Linked DNA regions of Rattus norvegicus. The protein of the gene in region 1 interacts with the protein of each later gene in a pairwise test. Links are inferred from orthologs where the notes say so. Each region holds a gene or a part of one and is shown in the gene's direction. Other genes may lie near its edges. The genes, in order: Gpkow, Sh3gl1 and Tcea2.

Evidence for each region.
Region 2: the proteins of Gpkow (region 1) and Sh3gl1 interact in binary tests that used the Homo sapiens proteins (3 or more experiments, as listed by UniProt). The two-hybrid records come from large-scale screens. The link is inferred for Rattus norvegicus from reciprocal best matches to the Homo sapiens genes GPKOW and SH3GL1.
Region 3: the proteins of Gpkow (region 1) and Tcea2 interact in binary tests that used the Homo sapiens proteins (3 or more experiments, as listed by UniProt). The two-hybrid records come from large-scale screens. The link is inferred for Rattus norvegicus from reciprocal best matches to the Homo sapiens genes GPKOW and TCEA2.

Annotation. Positions count from the first base shown.
Region 1 is NC_086039.1:17,475,376-17,479,623, reverse strand, and holds the start of Gpkow (G-patch domain and KOW motifs-containing protein), read left to right. Parts: upstream 1-1,325; 5' UTR 1,326-1,420; coding exon 1,421-1,590; intron 1,591-2,709; coding exon 2,710-2,867; intron 2,868-2,970; coding exon 2,971-3,095; intron 3,096-4,248. UniProt on the Homo sapiens protein: RNA-binding protein involved in pre-mRNA splicing. As a component of the minor spliceosome, involved in the splicing of U12-type introns in pre-mRNAs.
Region 2 is NC_086027.1:936,465-939,957, reverse strand, and holds part of Sh3gl1 (endophilin-A2), read left to right. Parts: intron 1-2,703; coding exon 2,704-2,772; intron 2,773-2,885; coding exon 2,886-2,958; intron 2,959-3,450; coding exon 3,451-3,493. UniProt on the Homo sapiens protein: Implicated in endocytosis. May recruit other proteins to membranes with high curvature.
Region 3 is NC_086021.1:189,179,404-189,182,207, forward strand, and holds the end of Tcea2 (transcription elongation factor A protein 2), read left to right. Parts: intron 1-259; coding exon 260-316; intron 317-672; coding exon 673-827; intron 828-902; coding exon 903-1,049; intron 1,050-1,735; coding exon 1,736-1,807; intron 1,808-2,048; coding exon 2,049-2,057; 3' UTR 2,058-2,229; downstream 2,230-2,804. UniProt on the Homo sapiens protein: Necessary for efficient RNA polymerase II transcription elongation past template-encoded arresting sites.

The DNA of each region.
Region 1 (4,248 bases):
TCAGTTTGGCACACCTAGCTGTTGCCAAGTAACTGTGGGACAGAGTTTAGAGTAAATGCTAACAGCTGTTGTCCTCGTAAACAAAGCAACTCGTCAAACCATCACTGATGGGGAAAAAGTACAATAGGCCCCTTCCTCCCCTGCTGAGCCATCTCTCTAGCCCTGCCTCTGAAATTCTTGTCCCAAACTTATAACCTCAGACTAATAGCGAAAAGTTAACACAACAAGCTTTATTGGCGTTATGTTCTTCAAAATAACTGAGCTATATTTTTAAAAATCAGTAAAGACGGGGTTGGGGATTTAGCTCAGTGGTAGAGCGCTTGCCTAGCAAGCGCAAGGCCCTGGGTTCGGTCCCCAGCTCCGAAAAAAAAAAAAAAAGAAAAAAAAGAAAAATCAGTAAAGACAAAGACTAAAAAACTAGCACTAAAGACTACAGAAGACAAAGGAGGCATACAATTATATTGCAGTGTATGAGATATCAAAACTGGATCCTAGAAGGAAAAAATGCTTAATTAACAGAATCGCACCCAGGGATAGGGGTGTGGCTCAGTGATTAAAAAGAAGCAACATTATACAAATGTTCATCTCCTGTTTTGGATAATTTATAACACTGTTATGGAAAATCTGTAATGTTATCTTGGTCAAAAAATATGGGGGCTAAGTATGAACAGTTGTGCTGCTCTGGCTGGGGGAAAAAAGCAACTGAGTCAAGCAAAGAGGCTTCAACCCAGAAGGTCCTGGCTCTTCATGCCAAAAACCAGAAGACACTGCCTCATCCAAAAGCTCAAAAGGGTTAGAAAAGTGCAACATAGAGATTATGTGTAACAAAGGCACTTTACAAGAAAGCATAAGAAACTGGGGAATGGGAGAGAAAAAAAGAAATTAAAGGAATACAGATTAATGGTACAGTGCTTCCCTAGACGAGGCCCTAAGTTAAATTATTAGCACTGCAAACTGAACCACATCCCAGGTACAATCCTGGTTTTTCACCTTATTGACACTTTCTACATCAGTAAGATTCACATTGTGGAAAAGCACATTAAATTATGTGCTTGTCAAATACAAGATTTATTTATTTTGTTTTGTATATATAAATATTTTGCCTGTATGTACATCGTGTGCGTACATGTCGGAAGAGGGTAGAACTGAATTCCTAACGGTTTAATACCCAGGAATAACCTAATCAATCTTCCACCGCGACTACACCACTAAGAACTACATTTCCCGGAATGCTTAGTACGGCACCTTACTATGACGTTTAAAGAGTTCCCAAGCTCTAATTCCTGTTTCCCACGGCTTCAAGGCACCTGTTCTTGAGGCGTTGCATTCTGGGATAGATTCTGGCGTTCCTGGGCGGCCCTTAAGGTACTAGAGTTAAACTTCCCAGCAGGCAGAGCGCTCGCCTGGGACTCGAGCCAAGATGGCGGGCCGTGAGAGTCCGCCACCGGCTGCCGCGTCCACAGCTCCGATTTCTTTCGGTTTCACTCGCACATCTGTCCGGAGGCGACTGGCAGACCTCGGAGACAGCGAAGGACAGGCCCCAGAGAAGAAAGATTTCTTGGCGACTGTGGAAGGGAGGGAGCTGCAGAGGTGAAACGCCGGGTCTTTTCACGTCTTAGAAATCGGTGAAATGGGCTTAAGCGGGAGGGCAGAGTAAGGTGAAACGCCGGGTCTTTTCACGTTTTAGAAATCGGTGAAATGGGCTTAAGCGGGAGGGCAGAGTAAGAGAAATTTATGCTGGTGACAGTGGCCTGGAAAGCCTGAAACAGCTTCGGGAAATTTATGGAGGTAACCAGGAGTGGCGGCAAATGCCTGTAAGTCAAGACCTGGGAGGCTGGCGCAGGAGGATCAAGAATTGAACGCCAACCTGGGCAATTTGAGAGCCTATATTAAAAAAAAAAAAAAACAAAGAAATTACTAAAATAAGGGCAAGAAGAGGGAGGTTTGTTATGTGGATGAAATGGGGCTTGAGAATCAGAGATATAAATTCCTCAGAGAAAAAGTCGTGTGCCTTTTAAGAAAGGGAAAGGAGGGAGAATGACAGGATTCTTCCTGTCTCAACTGAAATGGTGGGTGCTTCTCCGATTTGAAGAATGAGGCAAAGTCAAGTTTTGGGAGGCCATCATCAGTATAATTAAGAAAGGAAGATCCTAGAGGCCTAAGTGGGGGACTTCTAAACGGCAGTTTATGGGCCTGGAACTAAGAAGCTAGACTAAAGGTGGTGAGTTGTAGGTCATTATGCTTTAAGGCCTAAGAATGATTTGCACAAGACACATTTAAAGCTGGGACCCCGGAGAGAAATGATACATTTGTATTGGTTGTATTTCCAGCACTAGGAAGTTGTACCAGGTTGACTGAGAGTTTATAAGACCAGCATGGGATGCATCGTGAGATGTCTCAAAAAAGATGAGTGGACCTTTAATAGTAACCTGTGGAACATGGTCCATAGGGCTAGGCATTGATATTTATTTTGTTTGTTTGTTTCTTTCTGGCCATTGTTTATTTTCTTTGTTTCTTGATATTTTTACTTTATTTAGAGGGGGTGTCAAGACAGGGTCTCTCCATGTAGACCAGGCTGGCCTTGAACTCAGGGATCCTCCTGCTTCTGCCTCCTGAGTGCTGCTGGGATTAAAGGCATGCATTACCACTACCCGGCTGATATTTCTACTTTCTAATATGTCTACAACCCTTTTTCTCTATCCACATCAGTGTGAACCCTCCAGAAGCTCCAAAGGAGCTGGTTATCCCATTGATCCAGAATGGCTCTCGCAGGCAACTGCTGTCCAAGAACCCTAAGCCCTCAGAAACAAGCACCGTGTTGACGTCAGATGGTGTGTTGTCCCAGGCTGTGAAGGAACTCATTGAGGGTGAGTGAAAACCTTCCTCTTTGCTCTGCCCTAGTGCAGATAGAAGGGGAAGAAGTTGGAAGGATAGGGTATGGCCTCATTGATCCCTCCCATTCTTCCTTAGAATCCAAGAAGTCTCTGGAGGAGAGGGAGAATGCAGGTGTTGACCCCACGCTCACTATCCCCATGATCCAGAAAGGATGTACTCCCATTGGGGAAGGAACATACAGCGAACCTCAGGCTGAGACAGTGAGCTGTCCCTTTGCCTCCCTCCTACACTATTCCTTCTACCCTGTCTGCCTAGTCTCCTTGCACATAGCAGGGAAAGTGTGTGTGCATGTCCCAAAGCCCTGCCAATTAGCCTTTCCTCCTTCCACCCTTATTAGAAGCATTAACAAAACAGAAAGCAGGGTGTTTAAAAATGTACGTGAATGCTGGGATTATCTGAATGAGGTAGACAACAAAGTGGACAGGAAATACAAATGCCATGAGGGTGTACACTGTTTGGAACCACATTTGTCTGTTTCCTCTTTCTTTTTTCTTTGTTCTGATTTTAGCCTGCAGTGTTTGAGGAGCACTAAGGAAACCTATTACTGGATTGGAATGAATGGGGAGGGAGTGGGCAGTAGATGAAGGCAGAGGGGGCCAGATTAGAAAGGGCATTCTGACCCACAGAGCAGACTTTTGTCTTTTACTATGAGTGGAGTGAGAGCTAAGGGGAAGTCTTGAGCAGACAGGGTTAGAACAGGGTCCCCTTTGTCTGCCCTGACCAAAAATGACTAGGAAGTGAAGGTAGGGCAGGAAGGGAGTAGACTAATCCAGAATAGAGGTCGTAAGGATACACACACATAGAAGTGACTGGAGTGAGAACTGGAAGGGTAGTTAACATTTAGTGAGAGAAGAATGATCAGACTGGGGACTCCGAATGGCAGCAACAACCCAAGAAACCCACCCTTGTGGGAAATCAGTTCTGAGGCATCTTGCAGTGTGCCGAGTAATGATAAAGGAATGAAGAAATGACAACAGATGAGATGGAAAATGTGTTTGTAGAAATAAAGTTTGAGCTCAGCTTCTTAATGTTTTAGCTTTTTTTTTTTTTTCTTTTTTCTTTTCGACATAGGGTTTCTTTGTGTAACAGAGCTCCTCTGGCTGTCCTGAACTCACTTATGTAGACCAGGCTGGCCTCGAAGTCACAGAGATCCACCTCACTCTGCCTTCTGAATGCTGTAATTAAATGGGCCTGGCTAGTGTTTTAGCTTTTATTCATAAAATGTTTGTGATACACCCTCTCTTTCAGCTAGTCTCAGTCTTCTGATGTGCTTGGCTTTCTTCTTTTTGAGACAGTTCTATGTAGTCTAAACTGGCCTTGAATTCACTCTGTTGCCAAAAATGACCTTAAACT
Region 2 (3,493 bases), on another chromosome or scaffold:
TCTGCCCTGTGTTCTCCAGGCTGACATGGGCTCTCTGTGGATAGTCCCAGAGTCCTGTGGATAGTAGGTCTGTCATGGTGCTGGCACTGGTAAATTGGAGCAGGTGAGCCTTTGACCCCCACCTGTGTCAACTTGCCCCCAAACTAGTCTGAGTCCCTGTTTTGAAGGCTGTGCTGAGGAGCAGCAACAGAAGGATCTGGAAGCTTCAGTGTATGAGGCATAGTTGCTGCGTCCACTGGACATCATGTCCATCCATAGACAGTTGTCATGTTCAGTTACACATAGTGGGGTCCCACTTTGACCCTCTGGATGACTGTAACTGAATGTAGCAGGGAGCCACTGGGCACTCTCCCTCCCCTTCTGTGATATGATCTTTGTTGCTCAGATTGAACCCTCCCACCCCCCATGGCTACCAAGTCACAATCATGGGATGTGATTGTTTAAGGGTGGCTGTCCATCAGCAGCCCCCATGGACCCGCCAAAAACCCCACTCTTCCTAACTTCTCTGTCACACATCCAGTTACCTGCCTCATGGCTCCTCTATCCTGTGCAGCCATGATGGTCTGTATCATGCTCTGAAAGACACTGTTTCTGCTTAGTTTGGCAACATGGGGCAAGGGCCCTACCCAGTAGCACCCTAGTCTCTATGATCCCGTTGGGTGGCTAGTCTCCCCATTGTGTCCTTTCTACTCCCATCCCAGGTACCTGGTTTACAGTAACATTGTTAACGGAGACCATATTAGGCAGACCCAATATGAGTAGCCAAGCTACTGGCTTCCTGTGCTCTAAGGGGTCAAATCTGTAGTAACAGGCTGGCCAGAGAAGTGGGAGCAATCTTGGTGCACATTGCTTTGGGCTTGTCCCCTAGAGTTCCCAGCACAATCCTGCTAGGGCAGTGATGCCCACATATCCACCAGCCCTGCCAGGTTAGCTGAGCACTACTCAGTTTGTACTCCAGAGTGACTGCAGCAAGGCAGCTCTTGGGAGGGATGGTGACCTCTGCAGGGCTGGCAGCTCTCTGCCAAGAACCTAGGTCTTTGCATGCCACCATGCAACCCTGTTGTGCTGTGGAGGCTGATGACTCCCCACAGACTTGTAAACAGGCTGTACCTTGCCTTCTGGCTCTGGAGTGAGGGTGTCTTGTCTCCTAGTTTTCTCCTGTGCCGATACCTGCCCCCGAGCTGTGGAGGGATGTGATTTTGCAAACGGCTCAGAGTACGAGGTTGCAGCTTGCTCATGGCATATTCAGTGATGTGTGGCCCCAGTGGAGCTCTTGGGCCTTGGGGAGGCTGGGTCTCCAGATCACAGGGCACAAGAGATAGGACCATTAAGAAAGCCGCTAGGTGTGCTCTGGGCTCCCCTCTTCCTGCCTTGCTGCCCTTCTTAAGATACCATGCCCCAGGCCCAGTTGCTGTCCCCGGAAGCTGTGGCCCTGCCTTACTTCTCTGCATTTACCATAAGAGCTAGGCCTTGTGGTGGGTGACATCCTGCCTCTGCTCAGCCTAGAGAAGCGAAACTGTTTGTGAAAGCTGGTGGGGTTCCCTGGGAATACCCATACACCTGGTGGGGCCTGTCCTGGGCCTCTCCATGAGTATGAAGATCTAAGACAGGCTCTGGGGACCCTCATGGGTAACCCTGTCTAGTGGACAGGGCAAGCCAGAGACTATGGCAGCCTTCAGATCACTGTGGGTAGCTACCCAAGCACAGGGTTGGGAGGTCACTCCCCTGCTTCTACAGCCACCCCACCCACTTCCTGATATCTTTGGTCATTTCCTCCCAGAGTACAAAGTCGTTACTGTTCCTGCCTGTGACATGGGTACCATACAGCCCTTGCAAAACCCTTGTAACAGCTCAGAGTCAGGAGCACCAAGGTCATGGCACCTGAAAATCCACACTGGTACCTTATCTCAGGAGTCCAGCCTGCTACTGTGCATGTGTGGCTTCCATGCCTTTAGCCTCTGAGCAAAGGCACCCTAGAAATACCCCCATACTGGGCCCCCTGTCTCTATAGCTAGTAGTAGACCTGTCATATCTCATGCGAGGGTGACCTGGGCAGTGGCTACCTTGCTTGTGTGTCCTAGGGGCTTGGGTATGATGAGTGAGGATGATTGTGGTGGGCAGATTGGGGTCTTGTGCCCCAGAGGGGTGACACATATTGTTTGGCATTCAGATAGTAACACAGCCACTCAGGACTCTCTGCCAGGTCCAGCAGGGTCAGGGCCCAGCTGTGTCTACTCTGCTCCAGGCTCTCAAGTCTAGGCTCCTGATTGCAAAGTGTGCTTTGTGAGGTCAAGTTCTGACTTCCTTGAGAGGGGGGGGAGGGTCCATCCTTATCAGCTGTCAATGTCAAAGTGGCAGGCACCAAGGACTCAGGTACACAAGAGCTTCCTGAAGCCTGCAGTATCCACAAGGCTTGAGCTGCCATGGGGTCTGTGCTCTGCCTTTGCCAAAGTAACAGGGTCAGCCAAGAACTGGGAAAGATGGAAGTCTCCATGGGGCATGGGCCTGGGACCTCAGAGGCAGTGCGCAATGCTAGCTGGGTCACAGCACACCCCAGCACTGTTGGCTTCTCTAGGGCTCACCCAGATACCCCATCTGCCCGCCTTTCCTGGAGTTCACATCCTTGACAGATACAGTTGCCCTCCACAAGCCAGCAGGAATTCCTCCTGTGCCCTCACATGCCTTCCTCCTTGTACCCAACAGCTGGTCAGCGAGAAAGTTGGTGGGGCCGAAGGGACCAAACTGGATGATGACTTCAGAGAGATGGAAAAGGTAGGATTCCACACTGGACTGTGGTGGGGGCTACTCCTGCTGGAGGACAGAAGAGCCTATATCCAGCTCCACCTCCACCTCTAATGGCTCCAACACTGTGGCTCTCTCCACAGAAAGTGGATATCACCAGTAAGGCCGTGGCAGAGGTGCTGGTCAGAACCATAGAATATCTGCAACCTAACCCAGGTAGGTAGGGCCTGGGCCTCTGGTTAGAGGGGTAGGAAGGGGAATACTGGGTCTGATTCCTCAGACTTCCCTTGGAACTGAAGTGATAATGACCTACTCTTGATGGCCTCTACACACACAAGGATTCCCTCTGCTGACTTGCAGAGCCAGTGTGCAGTGGAACCAGGTCTTCCCAGGCAAGGGTGACAGGGCACTCACTGAAGATTGAGAAAGTTAGACCACGTTCAAGAACCCAGACCACAGTGCTGTGATCATTTTGGCCTCTGCAGATGACAGATAGGCCTTCTTGCCAAGGCCTGGAGGAAGGGATGTATTGGAATTGTTCCCCTCCTCTGTGAACTGCCAAGTCCTTGGGAGTATACCCAGAGACAGCCTGGTGCCTGGCCCACTGGCCAGTTGGGGATATGAGGGCCCTGGTCTGGTGTACGCCTCAGTACAGTATAGTGTGGAGAGGAGCCTGTGAACCCACCTAGGCCATCTGTCCTCTTACAGCCTCGAGGGCCAAGCTGACTATGCTGAATACTGTATCCAAGAT
Region 3 (2,804 bases), on another chromosome or scaffold:
AAGGTCTGGATTTCGACTCTGTAGGTGGCCTGGGCCTCTGTCTGCTTCAGAGCTTGCTGCTGGAGAGACAGCTCTTCTCTTTAGCTCGCTGTGACCTAGCAGAGAGGCTAAGGTTTTTGAGGTCACCATAACATCTGTATGGTGGGAAATGTCTCCCTGGAATGCAAGTGTCCCGTTTAGCTTCTAGGGCTCTGTGCAAGCAGAGGGGTGGCAGTTGGAAAAAGATGGTGGGGGAAACAAGCGAGGCTCCCTCTTACAGACGACCACGTGGCTGTTGGTGTGAGCTGTGAGCATCTGTCATCTCAGATCGAGGAGTATATCCTTTGTGTAGGGTAAATGGTTAAGGGCTTCTGAGAGAGTCTATCGTCCACTGAGTTGTGCTTCTCTGGTAGCTATTGGACACAACTGGTAGGCTACCCAGTGCCCTTTCTGGGTGGTCCCTTGACCTTTTCTGGGCCATAAATGGGTAAGGGGCTATGACTACTTAGTAGATTTATCTGGGTCTCAAATAGGAGTGGGCCTAGAGAAGGCAGAACACTATAGACCCTTGGGTCCCCCACAGGTCTTGAGTGGGTAGACTCCTCTCCATGAGCCTGGGAAGAACATTTCCCATATGACTACCAGGAGGGGGAGGAGCTCAGAAACCTCAGATGGGTCCTTAAATACCTGCACGCATCTTCCTGGATGTGGGAAACACTGACATGAAGTACAAGAACCGTGTTCGGAGCCGAATCTCTAACCTGAAAGATGCCAAGAACCCTGGCCTACGCCGGAATGTGTTGTGTGGTGCCATTACACCCCAGCAGATAGCTGTGATGACATCAGAGGTAAGCTCTCCTGGAAGGGCTGGGGCCGGCTGTCTCTACAGAGCTGTGGGCTGCATACGTCACCTTTTTTATCAGGAGATGGCCAGTGACGAGCTGAAGGAGATCCGCAAGGCTATGACCAAGGAGGCCATCCGAGAGCACCAGATGGCCCGTACAGGTGGCACACAGACCGACCTGTTCACCTGCAACAAGTGCAGGAAGAAGAACTGCACCTACACGCAGGTCGGGGCCTACACCATCCTCCATCCTCCTGTCTAGGGGCCGCAGGGTGCACTCCTCCTCCTCTTGGGTATCACCTGTGTCCCTGCTTTTGGCCTGAGGCTCTATGCCAGGGCTCGGTGGCTTGCCCATGCCTATCACGGAGGGATGGGATAGGAGTAGAACATGCTGTTTGTCAGTAGCTGTGGGACCTTGAGGTCCTACTATGGAGGTGGAAGCTGAGGTACTCTAGGAAGGCTATGTGGTTTCCATGGGACATTGGGAGCTTGGGAAGAGGGGACTAAACTAAGATGGTCTCTCTGGTAGAAGCTCTAGGGCTTATGGGAACTTCCATCATCTGCAATAGGCTGCAGAGGGCTGGACCTGAGGGGCAGAGCAGCTCAGTCCCCACAGCTCAGGCCCTGTGGGATGTTTGCTGTTGAGTCCCCAAGGCATCTCTGATCCTTTTACTTTCTAGACCCTCCTGTTGGGAATCCTGCACTTAACCAATATTCTAGACTCAACTGAGCACAGTTGTTCAGGGCCACAAAGGCCTGTCATGACAACCTACCTCCTCCAGAGGTCTAGTTCTAGAAGGTTGGGGTAGTTCACTGGGAAGTTTCAAATCATCAATAGAGATCAGCGGGTATAAGACCAGTACTGCCCAGATCCGGGCAGCAAAACCAGGGATTCAGCCACCCACCCTACAGGTGCAGACCCGTAGCTCTGATGAGCCCATGACCACCTATGTTGTCTGCAATGAGTGTGGGAATCGATGGAAGGTAGGTGTTTGCCTCCAGTCCTGTCTCAATGCATATTGGGCCTGAAGTAGGAACTGCGGGGGTGGGGTGGGAGGTGAGATGGGGTGGGAGTGGGGGTGGGGAGGAGGCAGGCTGGGAGTCTCCTCCTGGCTAGGAGTCCTGGGGACTCCTAGCTGCCTGGGAGTCTGGGATGGAGCCTAACCCACTTCTACCCAGGGGGTCATGTGGGGCCTTGGCTAGACATTTTCCTGCCTTCCTGCAGTTCTGCTGAGTCCTTGTACTGATGTAGCCCTGGCCATGGCTAACCCTGAACCTCCTGCAACGCTCTTGGTGGACACAGCTTCTCTGGAGATACCCTGCAGGTGGCATGCCCCGTTCCAGCCTGCCTGGTGTGCACCTGCCTGCCCTTTGCCCCTCATCATTAAATGTTTCTTTTTTGCCTTCCTCTGGCCTTGCTCCTAATGGGCTAAACACAGGCTTCAGCTGGGTCCTATCCGTCCACCGCTGTAGATCTTTCCTCTCTGGGCTCCGACAACACTTGAGCTAAGCTGTGGTAGGGCAACACTATAGACAAGAGCTTGTCTAATGTTGGAGACATTCCTTGTTTGTATGATTCTAGGATATTGCTAATGCTTGTATGTGCACCACCATGCTGGCTGTGTGGGCTGGTGCAGGAACTTGCCCAGTGCTCACCCGTTCTCACTAGGTATGGCAGCCTGAGGACCTGGTATCCTTTCAGGATGTTTTACTTTGTCCTTCACTCCCCTTACCCATGGTGGAGGATGGTCTCTGAGCTGAAGTTAATTCTAGCTTCAAACTGCTGAAACTTCCAGCAACTTGGAAGAACAAAGTAGCGAGTGTGTTGCTTTATTGGACCGGTAAGATTAAGATGCTGTGCCTAGCTTCTTTGGAAAGACCATACCATCCGCTTTGTCCCCACCAGCCTCTGGAAAGGCATTTCATCAAGTACACAAGGGTTTTAGGTTTTACATCATCTCCAGTTGCATCTCAAGCCTTT